Lonchura striata: one gene and its partner. The protein of the gene in region 2 purifies or fractionates together with the protein of the main gene of each other region. This does not show direct contact. Links are inferred from orthologs where the notes say so. Each region holds a gene or a part of one and is shown on either strand. Other genes may lie near its edges. The genes, in order: TTC27 and AAR2.

The links.
Region 1: the proteins of AAR2 (region 2) and TTC27 purify together in Homo sapiens (affinity purification with mass spectrometry; 3 studies listed by BioGRID and IntAct, with this or other methods). This does not show direct contact. The link is inferred for Lonchura striata from reciprocal best matches to the Homo sapiens genes AAR2 and TTC27.

The regions. Positions count from the first base shown.
Region 1 is NC_134605.1:35,401,215-35,411,488, forward strand, and holds the start of TTC27 (tetratricopeptide repeat protein 27), read left to right. Parts: upstream 1-6,449; 5' UTR 6,450-6,593; coding exon 6,594-6,681; intron 6,682-9,420; coding exon 9,421-9,598; intron 9,599-10,274.
Region 2 is NC_134619.1:13,897,681-13,907,594, reverse strand, and holds the start of AAR2 (protein AAR2 homolog), read right to left. Parts: upstream 4,081-9,914; 5' UTR 4,061-4,080; coding exon 3,313-4,060; intron 1,842-3,312; coding exon 1,612-1,841; intron 1-1,611. Other genes in the region: EPB41L1 (band 4.1-like protein 1), read right to left, coding at 8,448-8,456, 9,555-9,671. UniProt on the Homo sapiens protein: Component of the U5 snRNP complex that is required for spliceosome assembly and for pre-mRNA splicing.

The DNA of each region.
Region 1 (10,274 bases), on a different chromosome or scaffold from region 2:
CTAAAGCTTCAATTTTCTGGGCAAGAAAAATCAAGACATGGCTTCACTGAGTTAAAAAAGAAAAATAGGTCTGGACAAGAAGATCTAAGAGCACTATCAAGACACAGGTAACAGCAGAGACGCAAAATATATTCCCTGGAAGTTCTAAGAAAGGATGTTTTTATTTGGGAGGGCATTTGATTATGCCTCCTTGGCCTGATCTCTCCTCAACTTGTGAGTGCTTACCAATTTTCAGAAGCAAATCCTGTAGGACTTTTGCCAGACATTAAGTCATATGCTCTTAGCCCAGTGTGTTGACAAGAATTTGGCAGTAATACTAACATTCACCTGAAAAGTCTGTGTGAAAAATGCAGTGAGCAACAATTCTAGTGACTTTGTGGAAGGACAGATCACTGCTACGTCACTAAGGTTAGAGAATGATAAGCACTGGGGGTAGTGGAGGGGCGGTTTGAGATCATCACAATTTTTGGAAAAAGGATGTATTGAGTTCCCTGCCCTCAGCATAAATTTGGAGATCTGCCCTGAAAACACAATGCCTCATCTACATCCAGAGAGATTAGAAGAACATACAGTGAAGGATCTCCTCCATGTGTGCCATTCCTGGGTCACTTAATCTAGGACTGATGTATAGTGGCAAAACCCACAGAGTAAATACCATTTCATCCCAGGCTGGATAGTTCTGAGCTGAGTGGAACTGAATACAAAGAATTTGTAGCACTGGCTGATCATTTTACTTTACAAAGGCCTTTCTTTTGGTGTCTGCACACAAGATTGTTTTATAAGGATTACCATCTTTATTCTAAAGGGTTTAGATGTTACATCTATAAAACAGCAAAAATCAGCATTCCGCCTGTATTATCCTCTTGTGTGTTGGCAATGGAAGGAATTCAGTTACACCAAAGTCCCTAGAAACTGGAGGTAGGGTTTTATATTCCTTTTCCATTTGGAGGAGTGAATAACTGCTTCTAATAGATCAATAAATGACTTACTGCACCTGCAAAACAGTGCCTGTCTTCTTGAAGAAGGGAAGCTCTACTGTAGATGTCTGTTAGGACAGAAACTTCATTGGGCAGAGAAAACAAAAATGTGCCAACTAAAATTGCTACAAGGGAGAAACAGCAGTTCTTTCCCAGCAGGGATGTCAGTACACAACAAGAATGAGTCACTGTGATGCAGTTCTGTGATTCAGACAATTCAAATCCACTCTGGGATGTCAGAACACCAACATATTTTTGCTGTGTGTGAATCCATATAAAGATGAAAAGTATTCTCCAGCTCTTGATAAATTCCTACATCTCTAACAACTGTCTCAAAATATTTTAAAATATTCTTTTCTAAATTTGTTACAGCAAAGCTGGATTTCGACAAATTTGCTCCTTAGTAAAACATCTGTATTTGTTTCATATCATTCTTTATCAGGAAACCTAGAGGCGCTATATAGTGAAAAAGAGCCTTAGACAATTCAGACAAATATCCTAAAATTAGGAGTAGATAAGTACCAAAACCCAGAACTGTTTTGTTGTTAGTAAATTTTTTTTTAATTCATAAAGCTAAACAAGAAGAGCTCTTCCTCTGAGATAAAATATAAGTCTAGAGCACTTACTTTTCTCTCAGGTGAACAGGTTGAGAACAGTATGAATGTTTTACTTATCCTGCTGTTCAAAGTATGATCACAACAACCTGCAGCTTCTTTGTGGCAGAACAAAATTAACCTGTAGACATGGGATAATCCCTTACTATTTCCTAATCTATTTTTACTAATAATTGCTGCAGTCAGTCTTTGAACAGAATGGATGTATAAATAGATCAGCAGAGTTCAGGCAATCAGTAAGTATAAAAAGTCCTTTCTCATCATAAGCATTTCTAGTCATAACTCTACCAGAATGTTCCTAAATCTACAACATCAGACAGAGGAAAGAATTTCCCACAGCCACAAAAGTAAGGCATAATTTTGCTGCTGAGAACAGTTGGAAAACCTATAGGAACTTATTTTCATCCTACTAGCCACAAGAAACCTGGAAGACGACTGGAATATGATACCACTCACTGTACCATAGGATCTGAAAGATTGTACAGAAGTTCCCAGTTAAAGCCAAAGCCTGATTTTTTGATACCAAGAGTTTTGCTTGTGGAAAGTAAGAGATTGTGAATGACACAGGTTTCCTAATGTTTGTGGAGTCTAATGATTAACAGCAGCAAGATGAATGAAAAATCACTTGAGTGCTGGTTTTACACAGAAAATTTTTTAGAAGAATCCTTTGGACATCTTCAAGGACTGTAAAAGAATTGATTGATTTTGATTTCTTCAACTCTCTGGAAGCCTGCTCGGAACACGTCAGTTTCTCCTTTGGGCAGTCAGGGAAGTAAAGAGGGAAGCAGAAGCAGTCATGAAGGACAGGGGAATGAGTCATCCTAATCCACTGTAATGATCTCATCAATCCTTCACCATGTCAAGTTATAAATATATAGTAAATATTGACAAGCGTGTTGAGGCAGGTTTTGAAAGAGAACATTTATCTTATTGTTGTTCTTGCCAGGACAGATAATCCTCAAAGAAGCTAGTAGTTTCAAAGATTTAGGGAGAAACTCATTATGGAGAATATGAGAAATCATTGCAGTGCAGATTTTTGGTTGCTGAAGGACATTGAGATCTACTGGTGTTTTCAGCGTGAATACTTTCTCTCCATCTATTTCCCTCCACTATAATCTAGATATTTATCTTACTAGAACCTTTTTCTTTGCAACTTCTAACATTTGCAGTCAGTTTTGCCTGCCTCAAACTTTGGAGAACCAATAGCATCCACAGTGATGTCCCATATTGTCCAAAATAACATTTGAAATTACCATAAAACATCAACTTCCCATAAATATTGCACAAATTCAAATTAAATTCACTAGAACAGTTGGATTTCTATCTTTCCCAGACACTTCCAAAATTTGAGGCCTCCTGCCTTAACATTTGGTTCTTTTAAGTTCTATTCTCCTGTGATTATAATTCTATCACACTGCAAAGCTATGCTGAATTTTGTTTTACACAAATTTAAACTGAGATGGCAAAAAGCTCTTCTCTGACATACAGGCCACAACACTCCCAATCACTAAATACCTCCTCATCCAAAATACACATTTCGGAGAAGAGTAGAAAATACAGGAGTAAAGAGATTAAAATTATCATATGTAGTTTAAATAAAATATTCTGTTTCCTGTGTGATGTAGTGTGACTGGAACCAATTTTGTTTGGCTTTCTTTCTCCAGCCTATCAAAGAGAATCCAATTAATGAGAGCCATTCAATATTTTTTATATCTAATTTTAAATCCTTCTCTCTTTTTGAAGCTAGCAAAGGGAGAAAATATTGCTGTATTAAAAAAAATAAAAAAATAATAAAATAATGCTTCTGTATGAACTCATATAAGGCATTAACTACTTTGCAAATGTCTACTTGGACAGATATGACATGCTTATTTAATGAAAGAGCAATTTCTGAATTCTTTTGTTGAACAGTAAATTTAATTATTTCTATGTAAGCTTTGGTTTCTTCATCTGAAAACTCACAGATGTTACGTAGTTGAAACAGAGCAAATTTCTTCTAACTAACTAAGTAACAATTAATTCTTAAAAGATCAGATTAGATATGTTCTGAACAGAGCAACATTTGCAAAATGGTCAGCAAATTCTTATTCATGGACATCAGGAATGACAACAGATTTTCTGTTAAATGGCTACATTTTAGAAAAACTAATCTATTACAAGTGGGAAGACTGCACCTCAAATATTAAAGCTGTATTTTACAGACAGAGTATTTATTGGAGACCTACTTCCTCTTTTTCTACTCATCTCCTCATCCTGGATACCATACAAAAAGAGATACAGTAATATTAATACATAGTATATTCCAAATGATTAATGAAATTATTGTCAGCTTCTAGAAGAGTTGCCACAATGCCAGAGAAGAGCTGTCCAGGGTTATTTGCAACTGGCCATGTTCTTCATTTTACATTTCCAAAGAATGGTTTGAATCTCTCTTCCTGTGGTGCAGTGGCCTACACTAACTGTTAGTACTTCATAAAGTTGTGAAGAAGAGAAGAATTCCCTAGCCTCTATTATTTTAGCACATTTGAAATGTAGCTTTTTTACCTCCACTTCAGTGATTTTGTTCTTTGGGGTTCAGTGAAGCAAGAGTGTAAGTTGGCCAAGTGCTCAGAGAGACTCGAGGGATGCAGAGCTGCTTGGTGAGTGCACTGAAGCAACCTCAGTGCACGCCAAGCATCATGTCCCTGCCTGTGTAACTAAGGTATTGTAACCTTAAATATGATGAATCACAGAGACCAACTGGTTAGTGTGATGTAACTTGACTGAACTGACAGAGACAAGGCAAGAAAAACTGATACAATTCCCAAATATGAGCCTTGCATCTCCCTTACTCTCTCACCAGGTGCATCAAATGTGCTCCAGAATTGCAGAAGTTTGGTTGCGCAGTCATGCAAATTTTCATCCTGGTATACCAATGAGCTAGTTTTTCTTTGACAATTCCTCCCCTTTCCCCACTCCTCAAACAACAAATCTATTCCTGCTCAAAAATAGCACACAACACAATTGCTTCTCTCCCCAGCAGTACCAGAGACCTGGCACCCAGAATTCAGGATCAGTTTAAAAACCATGTAACAGCAGCTTTTACAAACAGCAGCTCACTGTGTCACTTAAAATGTCATAATAAAAAAATCTATGCTAATATTAATTGTTTGAAGCTTAATTTTTTCTTTTCTTTACAGTAAGCAGTGTTTTTTTTGTAGTCCGTAAGGAGATTGTCTGTTTCAAAAGGCTTTAGGAAAAAAACCTGCAGAAGATAAATACTGCATCAACACAGCAGCACAGGTATCTTGTAAGGTGATATTAAATGCACTAATTCAGATACCACAGTAGCACATTTCATATGGATAATTTTCTCACACTCTCAGAAAAAAAATTAAAGATTAAGGTTATTCTCTGAAAACTGTTGTGTCAGAAACTTTTATAATGTACTTCCTGCTTAGAAACAATAAGCAGCACTATGCTAAAATTTTGAATCTGCACTACACAGCACTGCAAAGACTTTCTTCCCCTTGAGCCATCTGGCAGAAGCTGTCCTTAGATGCAAAGAAAGCATGTTGATTGTTCTTTGAGAAATAAATGTATACTCTTCAAATAGTTTAGGGAAACAAACTTAAGCAGCAGATTTCAGTAAGTCTGTGGCAACTAACAAACACCCCAAACCATCTTTTACATCAGCAGTAACAATCTGCCCAGTACCAGGGAGGAGTGCACTAATTCCTGCCAGAGGTACTCCTGCCCACATACCTGCTGCAGCTTCCAGATATTTCTAGATGCTCCCAGACCTGAACTGTAGGGGTGAAACTCCACACGCTGGGGTAACTGGCAGAGGTGAGGAAGACAGCAAAACATGCCTTCTTTTTACTGAGGAATTATACTTAGCAACTATTTATTCACAGAAAATGTTACTTTACTGGTTTTCCCTGAAAATAAAAAGCACAAAATCTCATAATAGGAATTTTAATAATATCAAGCTTGTGTTTGGACAGGTGCTGAAATCAACATTGGGATAAACCAAAGCACGATCCTGATCTGCCTGCCCTGAGCGCTGGGCACCTCAGCCTGCACCTGCCCAGGATCACAGAGGATTCTCCACAGAGGATGTATAGATATGTATAGATATCTGAAGGGAGGTGTGGGTCTCAGATTCAGTCAAAGAGAGAAGCGGAGAGTTTCTAGCCAGGCAGAAGCCTGGGAAAGAGCTGGGGAAGAATGTAAATAATTCTTTATCTCTCTTGTTATTCACATTGTTTATAGTTAAATTCTATCACTATGTGTCAAGCACTCTGCACCAATGGTGTAGGTTGTTTTCACTTCAGAACCAATGGATTTGGTCCTTGCGGAGCTCTGTATAAAAGAGTGGTGCATTTGAATAAACCAGAGTTTTACTCTCAGCAGCCTTCTGAGTCAGTCTTCTCATTCCCGTCCTGCCTCGACAGTGACAGGGAGGGTGTCAAGAGGATGGAGCCAAGCTCTGCTCAGTGGGGTCAAGCAATGGGACAGGAGACAATGGGCAGAAACACAGGAAGTTCCAGCTCAATGTAAGGAAGAACTTCTTTACTCTGGGTCTGATTGAGCACTGGAACAAATTCCCCAGAAAAGCTGTGGAGTCTCCCCCACTGGAGGTATTCCAGAACCATCTGGATGTATTCCTGTGCCATGTGCTCTGGGATGACCCTGCTGGAGCAGGGAGGCTGGACAACAGAGTTTGGACCAGCTGACCCACCGCGTTCCCTTCCAACCTGGCCCCTCTGGCGATTCTCCCCAGGGCACCGCCCAGGCAGTGCTCGCGCCCCGCCCCGCCCCGCTCCCTCACGGTCTGTTCCCGGGTCAGCGCCGCCCTCAGCGGTGGGCTGGGGCCCGCGCGCCCTCCCGGCGTGCCCCGCGCCGCTGTCATGGCGGCTCCCTGCGGCCGCTGGCCGCGCATGGGCTGAGGGCTGTTGCGGGCGGCACGCGAGCCTCTGTGGGAGCGAGCGCGGCGGTGGCGGGCCCGGGCGGCGGGGCTATGCTGGCCCTGGAGCACGCCCTGCTCAGGGGCTTCCTCAGCGCCGCCCAGTCCCTGGAGTGGAAGCAGGGCGAAGTTACGGCCGCAGGTGAGGGGAGCTCCCGGCCCGGCGCGGGGAAGGTGTCCGCTTCTTGTGCGTGTCCGGAGCCACCGGACTGGACCGGGGCCGCGGCTGGCGGCTCCCTGCTCCCGCGGGTGTTTTCACCTCCGGCGCCCTGTCAGATCCTCGCCGAGCTCCCGGGGCCTCCTGCCCGCGCGGGCTGCTCAGGCTGGAGGAGCGGGAGCGGCGCTGCCGGCAGGGCTGAGGCGGCCGCAGCGGCGGGGCCCCCGCAGGGTTCCCTCGGCCGCTGTCGGTGCCGGTATGGCGGACGCCGCGCCGGCCGCCTGATCTTGCACTCGGGAAGCCTTTAAGCACGGGGCTCCCTCCGGCTGCCTCTCGAGTGAAAGGCTGCCTGCCTGCTGGAACTTGGCAGTGGGGCGGAACGCGCTAAAACGTGGGAAGGAAGAGTCTGGCACGAGCTGCCTTTTCTATATTTATCAGTTACTCGGTCACTGTTGCTTGAGGGATAAATGGAAAAGTCTCTTGAGGGCACTTGGTTAGACCCAGTTTTCTTGCAGGGGAGCTCAGCAGCTCTTAAAATGTAACTTTTGTCATGTAAAGGTACTTCCATGTTTCAAGCAGACTAGTTTTTGACATGTTTCAAGTCATGTGCCGTATTGTATGTAGTATATTGAAAATCTCATTTATCCCTACCTAACTTACAGATTTTTGGAAAAGAGCCATACAGAGCTAACCAGGTCTTATTTCGGTATGTGACTTTTCGTTTGGCCTTAATCATTGTACTGTCCAGGAATGGCAGCTGATGTGACTGATATCTGTCACATCTGTCTTTTCAGCAAGGGTTGGGCATGATCTTTACCACATAGAGTTTTTCTGATTGCTTTTTTTTTTGCCATATTGTTTGTTAGCTTTGGTTTGTTTTGAGGTGCTTTCAGTAGTGTGCTGCTATAAAATGTGGGGAAAACTTGAAGAAAGGCATTTTGCAATAGAAATAGAAAATAGTGGGTTTTGTGATGATTCTTAGTCATCATTTACATGGGCCCTTCCTATTGATGATCCTGAATATAAATTTAAAAGCTGTGACCTTGAATTTATATAGTGTCCTATAAAAAGCTACACACATAATCAAAAACAGATTTTATGTGCTTACAGTTATGTTACTGGAAAGAGAAGAACCTCAATATTCCTCATTCATCATCACATGTCCTCACAGCCCATAGTTATTCTACAAACTACAGCAGTCCCTGTCTGGCAACTATAACCCAATACAAAGAAGTTGTCATTTGGTGAGAGAAAGTCTCTCCAAAGAATAGATTGGAAAAGTCTCTTGTTATTTCTATTCTCTGTGAGGGTGTGATGTCAACAGCTCTGCTGAACCACTGGTGTACTTTTATATATGTCCTTCTAGGTATAGCTTAAAGTGTTTTTTAAATAATGCACAGCACATGTTATCTCTTATACCATTCAATAGCTCATTGTGGAGAACAGAAGTAAACTTTGGTCAACAGCGTGGTGCAGAGATTTTAGAATGAATGAGTCTCTGTCACCCATTCCTACAGAGTCATCCATTGCTGGTATTGAAGGTGGTTCTGCTGTCTGTGTTCCTGTATGTCTAAAATTTAAATACTTGTTTAGCTGGATGACTTTGGGGTTGGTATTCATATCAGTTCTTTGCACAGCTGCTGCTTGTGTGGATCCACAGTGGTGACAGTGTTAAATTGATTACCTTGGCTGCTGATTTTAGTGCAGCTACTGAGTGCAGGGAGCTGCAATCCCCAGCTGGAATCACAGATTGATAGTGAGGCGCTTAGCTTGTGTAGACCTCTGCATTACCTCAGCTGCACCATCACCAACACCTGTATCATCTGGTCAGAAACCAGTTAGTGTGTTTGCATGAGTTGTAGCCACAGCTGCAGGATAGGGAGATAATGGTTTTGCTCAAGAACAGCAGGTTTTAACATGGCCAGATTTTTCCAACAACTGCTGTATTGATTGCACAGTAGCATATCTGAAGATAGCTTCTGTGAATATAGTTGTAACCTGCATCAAGAACTTGATGGGTCTGAAGCTTCTTAGAAATATATAGCATTTCTTGGCTTCACTTCGTCTTGAAATCAGGCTTAAGAAATAGTCATGGGTCTAAATCCACCTTAGTAATTACCCTTAAGAATTTGCTCCATGTGCAAGCTTTTCATTGAGGTAGTAGAGTTAAAATAGGAAGTAATTCTTTTGTAAAGATAAAATCTCATTGCCCATTGTGTGTGGGTATTCTAAGCATGTAAATGAAGGACTGAGCAGTTTCTGAAGTTGTATATAACACTGAATTCTGCAAATATTGAATCATTTTTTGTTACATTTCCCCTAAGTAGATTCTCTGGTCTGTGAAATTACTGTCTTATCTATAGGACTTTACTGTTCATTTAAAATGTTTTGAAGGAAGAACATCCTGCTGTTATAACTGAAGTGTTTTAAAAGGCCATCCATTTATTTTTCCTGAAATTTCAGTGCAAGTTTTTGTTTTACATTCATCTGGTCGATTGTGTTTCACTGTAACTTTAATACAAATTATTTTGAATTAAGTGACACCTGCTAGTGATGCTCTTGTGTTTCAGTGCAACTGCACTTTCACTGCAGTGTAAATGAAAATATATTCTTTAGAAGGGGAGTGGTATATATTTTCACCTGAATAGGTTTAATAGGTCTTGAAAGACAAAATTGTTTGGAAGTTGACACTGATTTCAGTCTTGTTTTCTTTTTCTCTTCCAGAAAGTGGATCATTGTTGCAATTGATGCTTGATGGGAAATATGAGGCAATATTTTCACATTCAGCCATTCAGAATGTTTTCAGTGCATCTTCTGTGACAGAGGAGAACATGGACACTTACTTGGAGAAACAGATTCTAGCATACCTGGATTGTTCTGCAGAGGTTGATAGCGTGGAAAGGTGGAAATTGTTATTTGTTATATGCAAGTTTAATAGAGGCTATGTTTGGTTTTTACAAAAGGCATTTAAAAAATGTAGAATTTTTATAGGGCCTTCAAAATCTTTGTACTGATAGGAAAGCAGAAAACAAATTTCTTGTGTTATTTCCCTTGCTCCCTTGTGCATCTCTTTGTTACTGTCCAGTGAAAGAAACAATGATGTTGTGATACAGGGGTTTGTTGAAGACATTAGCTTTACCTCAGAAAGCTCTGGTATAAAGTCACACATGTAAATTCATTTGGCCATATATCATCAAACAATTAGCAATTTTCTCTCTGAAATGTTGTATTACATTTATGTGGCTGCTTGAAGTACTGTGTAATGTTACTGTCCAAGCAATGGCTGTATTTCTAAGTCTAACCTATAATGAGGTTGTTCTGCTCTTCTAATGTAAAAAGGCGTACAGTGTTACTCATGGGTGCTGTTCATCAATTAATTATTTTCTTCCCAAGACCTCCTCTGATAGAGTCTCTCTTAATTGTACTGTATGTGCTGATTGTTGCTGTTAAGGAGTATGAATTTACTGTTGACAGTTTGCTGTGTTAAATTATGAACAGGCTGAAATCTGACATGCTAGGCATAGTAGAAGCAGAAAGCTATGTGAGTTTTGTGTGTATATATATTGGTATTTTAAAAG
Region 2 (9,914 bases):
TTACTGGAAGCTGGATAAAACACTGACAATGAGCAGCAGAGTTTGCTGCTTTATGGATGAACATTTGCCTTTTTCTTGCTCATTCTACTGGAAAACTGCCTCTTTCTAACAAAACTCTTACACAGCAATACTGCTGGTAGGGAAAAAATTATTAGATTATACTTCCCACTTCTTCTCAATGAATTGCACATTCAATTATTTATTTCACCAACTTGGTATTTTTTCTTTAACCACTGGTAGGGCTGCAGAGTCACTGGTGACTGCACTGTGCTCTTCTTGCCTTGGATCAAACTCCAAAAATGAAGTTGCTTCCAGAGCTGAGCAGGAACTGCACAGATAATGCCCTCCCCACAGCTCTGAGCAGCTGAGGCAGAGTTCTGATGTCTGTGTGTGAGGTGGGGATAAGGCAAAGCCCAGAGCTTCCCTGGCTCCACTTCAGGAAATCCCACAGGAGCAGAGCAGTGGAGAACTTGGTGAGGAAGGGCTCAGTCTGCAAGGCTTTTCTTTGTCACTGGGAATGTGGTGACTCCTGCCAGGGCTTCAGGGAGATTCTGACACCGGCTCCTGCTGAGGGACTGAAATACAGACTGAGGGAGCCCAGGCATAAACAAGACTCAGGAAGCCAGAAGCAGCAATAAGGGATTCCCAAATTCCCCTCAAGGGGAGAGAATGGCTGGTTGGAGAGTATTCTGGGTACTGCTGTGAACTGACAGCACTGCTCTGAGCGTGCTGCAAACACACCTGGACTGTCCAGTCCTGTAGTGGGATGGAAAAAACCTACCAAATATAAAATGTAAATTAAAACCCTCCCGAGACTTGTAAGAATCACAACTGAAAAATCTGAAAGCCACTTGATTAAGGCAATGCTTCCCAAAACATTTTACCCAGCAATTAAGCCCAAAAACCTTCACCTTCCCCAAAAGTACAGCAAGTACTTGGGTCAACAAGGACAGGGATGGAACTGCACCCACAGCAGAGCCTCCTGCTGGGCTGGTTCCCATTGCTCAGCTTTATCAGGGTGTCTGATATGGGCTTTTTATGTAAACTAAGCCAGTTTGCTGCACTGCCAGCACTGTCACCAGTAGTGGAGCAACTGCTTTCACTGGGGCTGAGCTACACATCTGCCCCACCTGTCTCAGCAGAAGCAGCATCTTTTGCATTTTGGAATAACCATAAATTCCCTCTGGAGAAGAACCTGACTACAGGAAATCCTCAGCTGTGCTAAGGAATGGAAAAGCTGCTTAAACACTATCACTGCCCTTAGCTCACTAAGGCTTTGCTGCAGCTTCCCTGCACACTGAGCACACCATTCCAAAAATCAGCATCATCAGTCCTTCATGCCAAAGGTTTGTTGTTGTTTTTTCTTTTCAAGAATGAAAGGCATTCTGGAAAAATTAAACAAACAGACACCACACTGCACTTGCCCAGCCTCTCTTGTAGCTGTTGAGCTGAATTTCTTACTGAATAACAGAGGGAAAAAGTCAAAATAACCCCTGTGTGCTCAGACAGGTTCCTGTCTCCCATGCAGCTTAATTCCTTTGGCAGTTTCACCCCAAATTTGACACTGCCTTCCCTCCCACTCAACTTCCCAGGGAACAGCCACAAACACACCTGTAAGGTGCTGGTTAAGAAGTTGTCCTGGGAGACAATGTCCACAAAAAAATCTGCTGGGATCTCGTTGAGCTGGTGATAGAGCACGGAAATGAGGTTGATGTAAAGGTCTTGGTACTTCCCTATGGCCTCCTCTGAGCGGCACAGGATGTTCAGGAGCCTCTTCCAGTGCTCAAAGGCATCGTACACATTCCCAATCAGGAAGCAAATGAAGGCAAACTGCAACTCAGCTGTGTGGGTTCAGAGAAGGGAAACAAAACAAAACATGTAAGACTAAACAGATATCCTGTGAATGTGTCATACACAAAGCTCTGCAAATGGTTTCTAAACTCTGGTTTGGCTTTTGCAAAGTGCATTCCTCAAGTGCATACTCAAACACTGACCCTGTACTGCTCTTCAGCTGGAGCAAAACAAAGCAGAACGGGGCAGGTCACCTGTAACTGTGATTATCAGCACTGGAGAAGGACTCTACAGACAGCAAACAACACCAAACAGCCCCAAACATCAAGGCAGACCCTGCTATTATACTTTGAGTGTCCAGCCTGCCAGTGCTGAGTGTCCAGCACAACATGGGACTGCAAACAGCACTGTCCTGGAATTCTGGGAGAGATCAGCAGTGCCTCAACGAGTGTGTTTGTCTTGCTGAATTAAGAGCCAGGGTTCATCACACTGGATGCTTGGTATCAGCTGTTTTCCCACCATTCCCTAAGGCAATTTGTTCTCTCTACATCCTACAGTTGTCTTTGGTAATTTTGAAGAAGAATAAATTGTATAATGTTAATGTACAAAAAAAATGGAAGAAGGGACAAACGAAGGCTTATTCCAAACCTGGGAGGGCTTCTCCCTCCATCCTGCAACAAAACAAAACCCTGCTCTAGGACCTCCACAAACCCAGCATTTATTTGTATCACAGGCTGCAAAGCAGGCTGGAGAACAGCTGAGCTCCGGGAGGTGTGGTGCCCCCACAGCAGGGCTGGCACAGCCTGGACACTGCCACTGTCACTGTCACTGCCACCAGCAGCACACGGAGCACGGCCAGGAGGGGCCGGGCCCTGCAGTAGGAACCACCAGGCCCACAGCTCCTGCCCAACCTAGCAGGAAGAAGGGGCCGGGGGTGCCCATCCCCACTCGGTGCTCTCAGGACTCCGTAAGAGATGTCCTCACGATGTTCCCTGAACAGCTAAGGTGCCAGGGCCACTTGTGACGGCTGCTTTTGACTTCATCGGGGCAATCAGGGCTGCAGCACCACGTTCCCACACCAGAGCCATAGAACAGAATTACAGAATATCCTGAGTCCGGAGGGACCCACAAGAATCACCCAGCCCAGCCCCCGTCCCTGCCCAGACCCCCCGACAACCCCGTCCTGGGCACCCCTGGCAGCGCTGCCCCAATGCTCCTGGAGCTCTTGGGGCCGTGCCCATCCCCTGGGGAGCCTGGGCAGTGCCAGCACCTCTGGGGGGAGAACCTTTTCCTAATATCCAAGCTAAACTTCCCCTGAAGGCCCTCGGGTGCTCTCCCTGGTCACACAGAAGAGAGATGGCAGCTGCCCCTCGGGAGGAGCTGCAGCTCCGGCCTCAGTCTCCTGCAGGCAATGCCAGAAACTGCCCAAACTTCTGTCCTGCGCCGCAGAGCCCTCGGCGCGCCAGGGAACCGGCAGAGGTCCCACCTGGAGCACAGGAATGCCATTTCCCGGGCGCTCACCGAGCAGGCCCAGCGGCCGGCCGGGGTAGCGCTGCTCCATCACCCGCTGCAGGGCGTAGCTCAGGTCCATGCTGTGCCGGGTGATCTCCTCGGGGGTGGCTCCGTCGGGGAAGGCCTGCCGGGGCAGCTCGGAGAAGCGGATCTGGGTGCCGGCCCGCGGCCGCATGCGGGGCAGGCGGGCCAGCCCCTCGGCGTAGCTGCGGCACTGGGCGCCCAGCGGCGGCCGGCGCTGCCCGGCGCGGTCCCGCGTGTGCCGCCCCGCCGCCTCGGGCAGCACCTCGGCGAAGGCGCAGATCTGGCCGCTCTCGGGCTGCAGCTCCTCGGCCGCCGCCTCGCTGATGAAGCTGCTCAGCGACACCCACTTCTTCAGCGTCTCGTAGGGGTAGGGCCCCAGGAAGGGGTCCAGCTCCCGCAGGCTGTCCCGCAGCGCCTCGCCCTGCTCGGGCGGCTCGGGCCGCACGGCCTCGCCCGCGGGGTCCCAGCGCAGCACCCGCACCTCGCGGCGCCGCAGGCTGAGGAAGCGGCCGGAGCGCGGCCCCGCGTCCCGCCCGCCGGCGCCGGCCGCGCTGCAGTGCACGAAGTGCAGCCCCGGCGGCACCATCTTCACGCCGCGGAACCGCGGCCCCACGGCCCACGCGCTGTAGTCGATGCCGAACTCGGTGCCCTCGGGCACGTCCAGCACCACCACGGCCGCGCCCTCGAAGAAGAGCTGCCGGGCCAGCTCGGGGTCCGGCCGCAGAGCCGCCATGCCGGGCCGCACCGAGAGCGGCGGCGCTGCCCGGACATCCGGGCCCGGCGCGGGAGGAGCCTCCGCGCCGCCCGGCCCCGGCCCCGGCCCCGGCCCCGGCCCCGGCCCCCCGGCCCCGGCCCCCCGGCCCCGGCCCCGGCCCCCCGGCCCCGGCCCCGGCCCCCCGGCCCCGGCCCCGGCCCCCCGGCCCCGGCCCCGGCCCCGGCCCCGGCCCCGGCCCCGGCCCCGGCCCCGGCCCGCCGGCCCCGGCCCCGGCCCCCCGGCCCCGGCCCGCCGGCCCCGGCCCCGGCCCCGGCCCCGGCCCCGGCCCCCCGGCCCCGGCCCCGGCCCCGGCCCCCCGGCCCCGGCCCCGGCCCCCCGGCCCCGGCCCCCCGGCCCCGGCCCCCCGGCCCCGGCCCCGGCCCCGGCCCGCCTGCGGGAACTGCTCCCGATCGGTGCCGCTCCGTCCCTGTCCCCGCCGGCCAGCCTCAGCCCCCGGCCCGCCGCTGCTCCCTTCTGCCTCTCCGTGGCTGGCGGCTGCCCCCGCTGACCCGCTGTCCCCCAAACCGGTCGCCAGTCCCTCCAGCTGCCTGCCATTCCCCTGGGCCCCCCGTGCTCCCAGCCCCGCAGCGGGACAGACGGACAAGAGCCGTGCCTGGGACTGATGGAGCGAGAGGCCCCCGGGACAGACACTGAGACCCTCACTGTGACACAGACACCGTCCCAGCACCACGTCCTCCCTTCCAGGACAAGACAGGGCCGGGGTCCCCAGGGATGGGCAGCTCCCTCTGCCTCCCGCACCCCGAGCATTCTCACAAGCCCGAGGCTCAGCACCTGCCACACGAAGCCGCTCCCGGCTCCACCAGCCGCAATTCCCGACCTGGCAACATCATCTGCCCTTGGTGTGCTGAGAGCCCACCTGCAGAACTGCGTCCAGCTCACGCTGGAGGGGCGCAGAGATGTTGGAATGAGTCCGGAGGTGGCCATGGAGATGCTCAAATGGGCTGGAGCCCTCTGCTCTGGAGGCAGGCTGGGAGAGCCAGGGGTGCTCAGCTGGAAAATTAAAGGCTCCAGGGAGAGCTCAGAGCCCCTTGCAGGGCCTAAAGGGCCTCCAGGAGAGCTGGAGAAGGACCTGGGACAAGGGCCTGGAATGCCAGGACATAGGGAATGACTTCCCACTGCCAGAGGGCAGGGTTAGATGGGATATTGGGAGGGAATTCTTCCCTGTGAGGGTGTGGAGGCCTTGGTACAGGTCGGCCAGAGCAGATGTGGCTGCCCCTGGATCCCTGGAATTGTTGAAGGCTAGCCTGGATTGGGTTTGGAGCACCCTGGTCTAGTCAAAGGTGACCCTGTCTGTGGCAGGGGATAGAACACGATGAGCTTTATATTCCCTTCCAGCCCAAACCATTCTGGGATTCTGTGATTTCTACAATCTTCTCTTTAGACAAAGCCTGGTATTTCCATGTGCAGTGCTCCCTGTTGCAAGGTTCCCTCTTCACGTCTCCATCCTCTCAACAGGAAAGAGTTAACCGAGGCCCCAGGCTGATTTAGCATCAAACACATTTATTTCACTTTTATTGAATACAAGAACAGTGAGCACACACGCATACACCACTGAGCACTGAAAAGGAGTATGACCAAAGGGGGTGAGGGAGAACAAGGGAAGAGAAAAGGAGAGTTAGTGAAGGAACAACAGAGCGTTGCAGTTGGTTGGTAAGGTGCTTCTCAAATAAAAATAAATATTATTATTATTATTATTATTATTATTGTTACTGTTATTACTCATGCAATTGCAGGCCAGGTTCAGAATGAATTTGTGGGATTGGGTAAAAACAGGCACTCATGTCTTCCACCCCTTTCCACAGAAATGGCCCCTGGAAGAAAAAAAGCAGTGACCAGCTATCCAGAACAGAGAGTGGTGATGGGCAGGCTGGGGCTGAGCAGCAGAAAGCTGCAAGTCACCAGGAGAACAAGCAGTGAGCTTTTTTTCTTTGCTTTTATTATTTTCTTTTAAGAAAAAAAAAAAAAAAAAAGGTTTGGACAGTGCCACTGATGAACACGCTGTGGGAGCCAGGGGCTGCTCACTGCAAACAGAACTCCCTCAGCCCAAGTGCACAGGGAGCCTCAGTCTACTCAATCCCATGGGAGCCTTGGCTTCCCACGCTGGGCACAACACCAGAAGCAACTCTGCAGGGTCACAGCGGCCTCGGGTGGGCTGGCGAGGGGCCCCAGCCAGGTGGGCTCCCCTGGCCCTGAATTGTGACATGTACTGGTGAACGCCAGCACGGGGCAGACCCCGGCCCTCTGCCACTTCTGGCAGTGCCTCTGCTGGGCACAGCTGGCTGGGCTGCATTGGGAAAACAAACGAGAGAAAAGGAGCCTCTTTGCAACTGCCCTAAGTGCTGCTAGGCTGGGGCTGTGCTCTCTGGAGACACGTGGCTGGCAGCTGGGGATGGGCACTGGCAGCAGCCCCTGTGCTCTTGCCTTCCATGCCTTGCAGGAGAAGCCTCTCTGCCAGGAGAACAGACTCACTGGTGAGCAGCTGCCAGGGAGCAGCTCCCTCCTGGGACAGCGCAGGTGGGAGCAGGGTCTGCCCACGGCATCCTCATGGCTCAGGAGCTCCTGCTCGGGCATCCTGTGAGCCCTGGCAAGGCCTGGCAGAACACACCTGGTCCTGGGCACAGCCTGTGTGAGGGGTGGGAGACTAAAGGCAAAATGGTGCAGAATCATGGCTCCTTCGGTTTCTGCAGGAGCTAGAAACAATTCCAAGAAGGAAACCCATTTCTTTCCTTTCCTTTCTGGTTTTGGTTGGGAGCCTACCTGAACTGCCTGGTTCACAGTGTATGGGGCCCTGGGCTTGGCCCACGATCCCCTTCCAAAGGCAGCCCTGGAGGGAGCCTGTGGCTGAAGGCCGAGCTGGGAGCAGCCCCACTGACGCCTCCTGGGCTCTCCCATCCAGCCTGGAACGCTGGGGACACTCTGCAGGGATGGACACAGCACGCTCCCTGCCCTGCCCATCCCCAGGCAGACAGGGGAGCACTGCCACGGCCCTGCCAGCGCTGTCCCCAGCCCTCTGCCATCACACCCCTGGTAGTGGGGGAGGCAGGGCACAAACAGCCCCTCTGCCTTTGACCCTACAAAAAAACTCAAGAACCTGCCCTACTGGGAACCAGAAGCAAAGCAAAGCCACCCCACTACCGCAGGGCTCCTGCAGGGAGCCCCGAGCCCTGCGGCTCCCGTCTCGCTCCCCGCTGACCCTGGGGGCAGCTCTGGCTCGGGGGCTGGGAGCCCATCGTGCCTACGGCTGGAGCTGGAGCCTTCCGTGCCCCTCCAAACCTCGCCACCACACACTGCAGACCACCGGCAGGACATTCCTGTCCTTTGCCCCCTCCCCTCCCCCCAGCCAGCAGCAGCCAAAACCTTTCCCATTCCTTCTTGTGGGACTCAGAGTCCCATGTGTGATCTGGGTCTCCAAGTACCCCAACCACAGTCAATCCATGAGTTAACAATTTCAAAATGTTGGCACCGTCTGTACCATCACTGTTGAATTATTTCAGCATTGTTCCCTCCCTCCCCCTCCGTTATATAGAATAATATACAGAACTGAAATGCACATCCATATGAAACCCCACAGGCTGCTCGTTAGAGATGAGAAACCATGTACATATCATTTGCTTTTGTTTGAAATGAAACCAATTCCTAAATACCTTCAGAGAACAAGAGGTTGGACAAGTGCACAGAGAAGATAAGGAAGGGAAGGGGAAAAGTTAACAGAACCCCCCCAAAAATGCAAAAAACCAGCATGGAATGAGGAGAAGGGCGAAATGACACTTGTGAATTGGAAAATAACTCTAAGGTCATAACTTCAATGTTTTTCTCTCTTCTTTCCAGAGGTGGGGAATGGTTTTGCTTCTGCTTGTGGTTTTTAACTTCAGTTTGCTTACTTGCTTTGTTGCAAAGCAGTTTTCCTTTCCATTCAGTGTGCAACAAATGAACTCATGATTGTGTGTCCTTTCATGTAACATGCAAGATGGTGGCTTATTGTATTGTTACCAAGATTATGGTTATTATTACGACTTTTTAAATCTGATTTGATCACCAATCCACGAAATTCTTCAATTTATCTGCAGAGGGTTGCCTTTGTTTGTTGGTGGTGTTGTTTGCTATTTGTTTCCAGCATATAGCAGCAGTGCAAGGATGCATTTTGTTTCCTGTTTTTATATATATATATGTATGTATGTATATATATATATAATATATTTGCTATTCCTTTTTTAAAAATTTTTGTCTCTTGCCATGAACATTGCAGCCAGGATGTCTATGTCTTGCTGACAAATCCAGCATGAAGGCTCCTTCTCCCCTGTTCTCCAGGTTTGAATATAGATGTTGGCTTCCAGGAACATGTTGGTCAGGATTCCTGTGCAAGGCAGATAGAAAGGACCAAGTCATGGAGTGCCAGTCCATGGAGGCTCCTCTTTGGATGAAGGCACTGGATAGAAACTTTGCAAACACTTGGGGCCACAGTTTACATTTAGTTAGCAGGAGCTCTGGTTATTGGCAGGAATTCAGGCACTGGGGTGGTGTTGGTGCATGAAGGACATGAGGGGAGCTGCTGCTCCCTCACTTTAAGCCATTCCACTAAAACTGGGTGGATCCTATGGGATGCAGGAATGTCTGGACTTGTTTGTACTGTGGGACAGGATGAGGCAGCTCCACCAGCCTCTCATGACCTTCCCAGCTGCATTACTGGTCGCTTTTCCAGGCTTAAAAGCTGCCCATCAGAACCTTCATATGATAAAGAAATGGAAAGTCCCAGTTCTGAGGAGCCTCTCCAAATGCACCTGCACCCTGGCTGCTGCCAGAGCCCCCAAACTGTTCCCTCTCCTCTCCACCTCTGTCCCCACTGCTCCCACACAGGGTCTGGTGGCTGTGCCAACCCAGAGGAGCCGCATCTCCTGGCTGACAGGGGGGAATGGGGTCAAATAGGGGGTTTAGGGTGGTGCAGGACTCCCCAAGTCCTAGAGAAGTGTCTGGGACTCTGATAGCTTTGCGGTGTCTGCAGGGAGGTGCAAACCTTGTGTGCTGCTGTGTATAAAAACCCAGCCTGAGGATCTGAGGGGACTGAAAATCTGTAGAGTTTCTGTAAAGAAGTTATCATTTTTGCCAGCATTGGTCTGATACTTTGGCTTTGCATAACCTGTAGACAAATGCCTCAGCCTATCCACAAACCTGAGGTCCCCTCAAACCCCTTCCCACTCCAGGGGGACGAGCAGGTCCTTTCCAGGTCTTTTCCTTTTTACATCAAATGCCTCTGAGCCCCGTGCTGAGCAGGACAGCAGGGTGACATCCACAGCATTGCTTTCAGTGACATGGTAGTGGCTTCCTGACCACAACCAGGTGGCAGTGCCCAGAGCCACCATGCCAGTATCTGTGGCTGGTGGGGACCAGAGATCGTGACCTATTACACCCCCATTACCAGCAGGTGTACATCACTCCTGGCAGCTTCTCCACCTACCTGAGGTTTCTTGTCCCTTTCCTCTGGAGAGGGCTCTGTTTCTCTGTACACCACAGCTTTGGTTACCAGCATGTCAGGGTGCTGGAGTTTTGCCTCTTTGATTGCTAAAGCCAGTGCCTGGAAAGCAGAAGGGTGAGAGAGAGAGCATTTATCCTCCCTCTCCTGCAATCAGACACCCTGACTGCAGCCAGAAAGCAGCTGAGTAGGATTCCAGGGAGCAGAGTCGGATTCCAGGATAGGAATGCAGGGGTTCAGAGCTGAACCCACAGCAGCCTGGCAGACGAGGCTGAAGCCCAGCATGGGAATCCAGCATGATTGGGAATTCATCCATGATTGGGAGCCCTCATGAGTTGCCTTTCT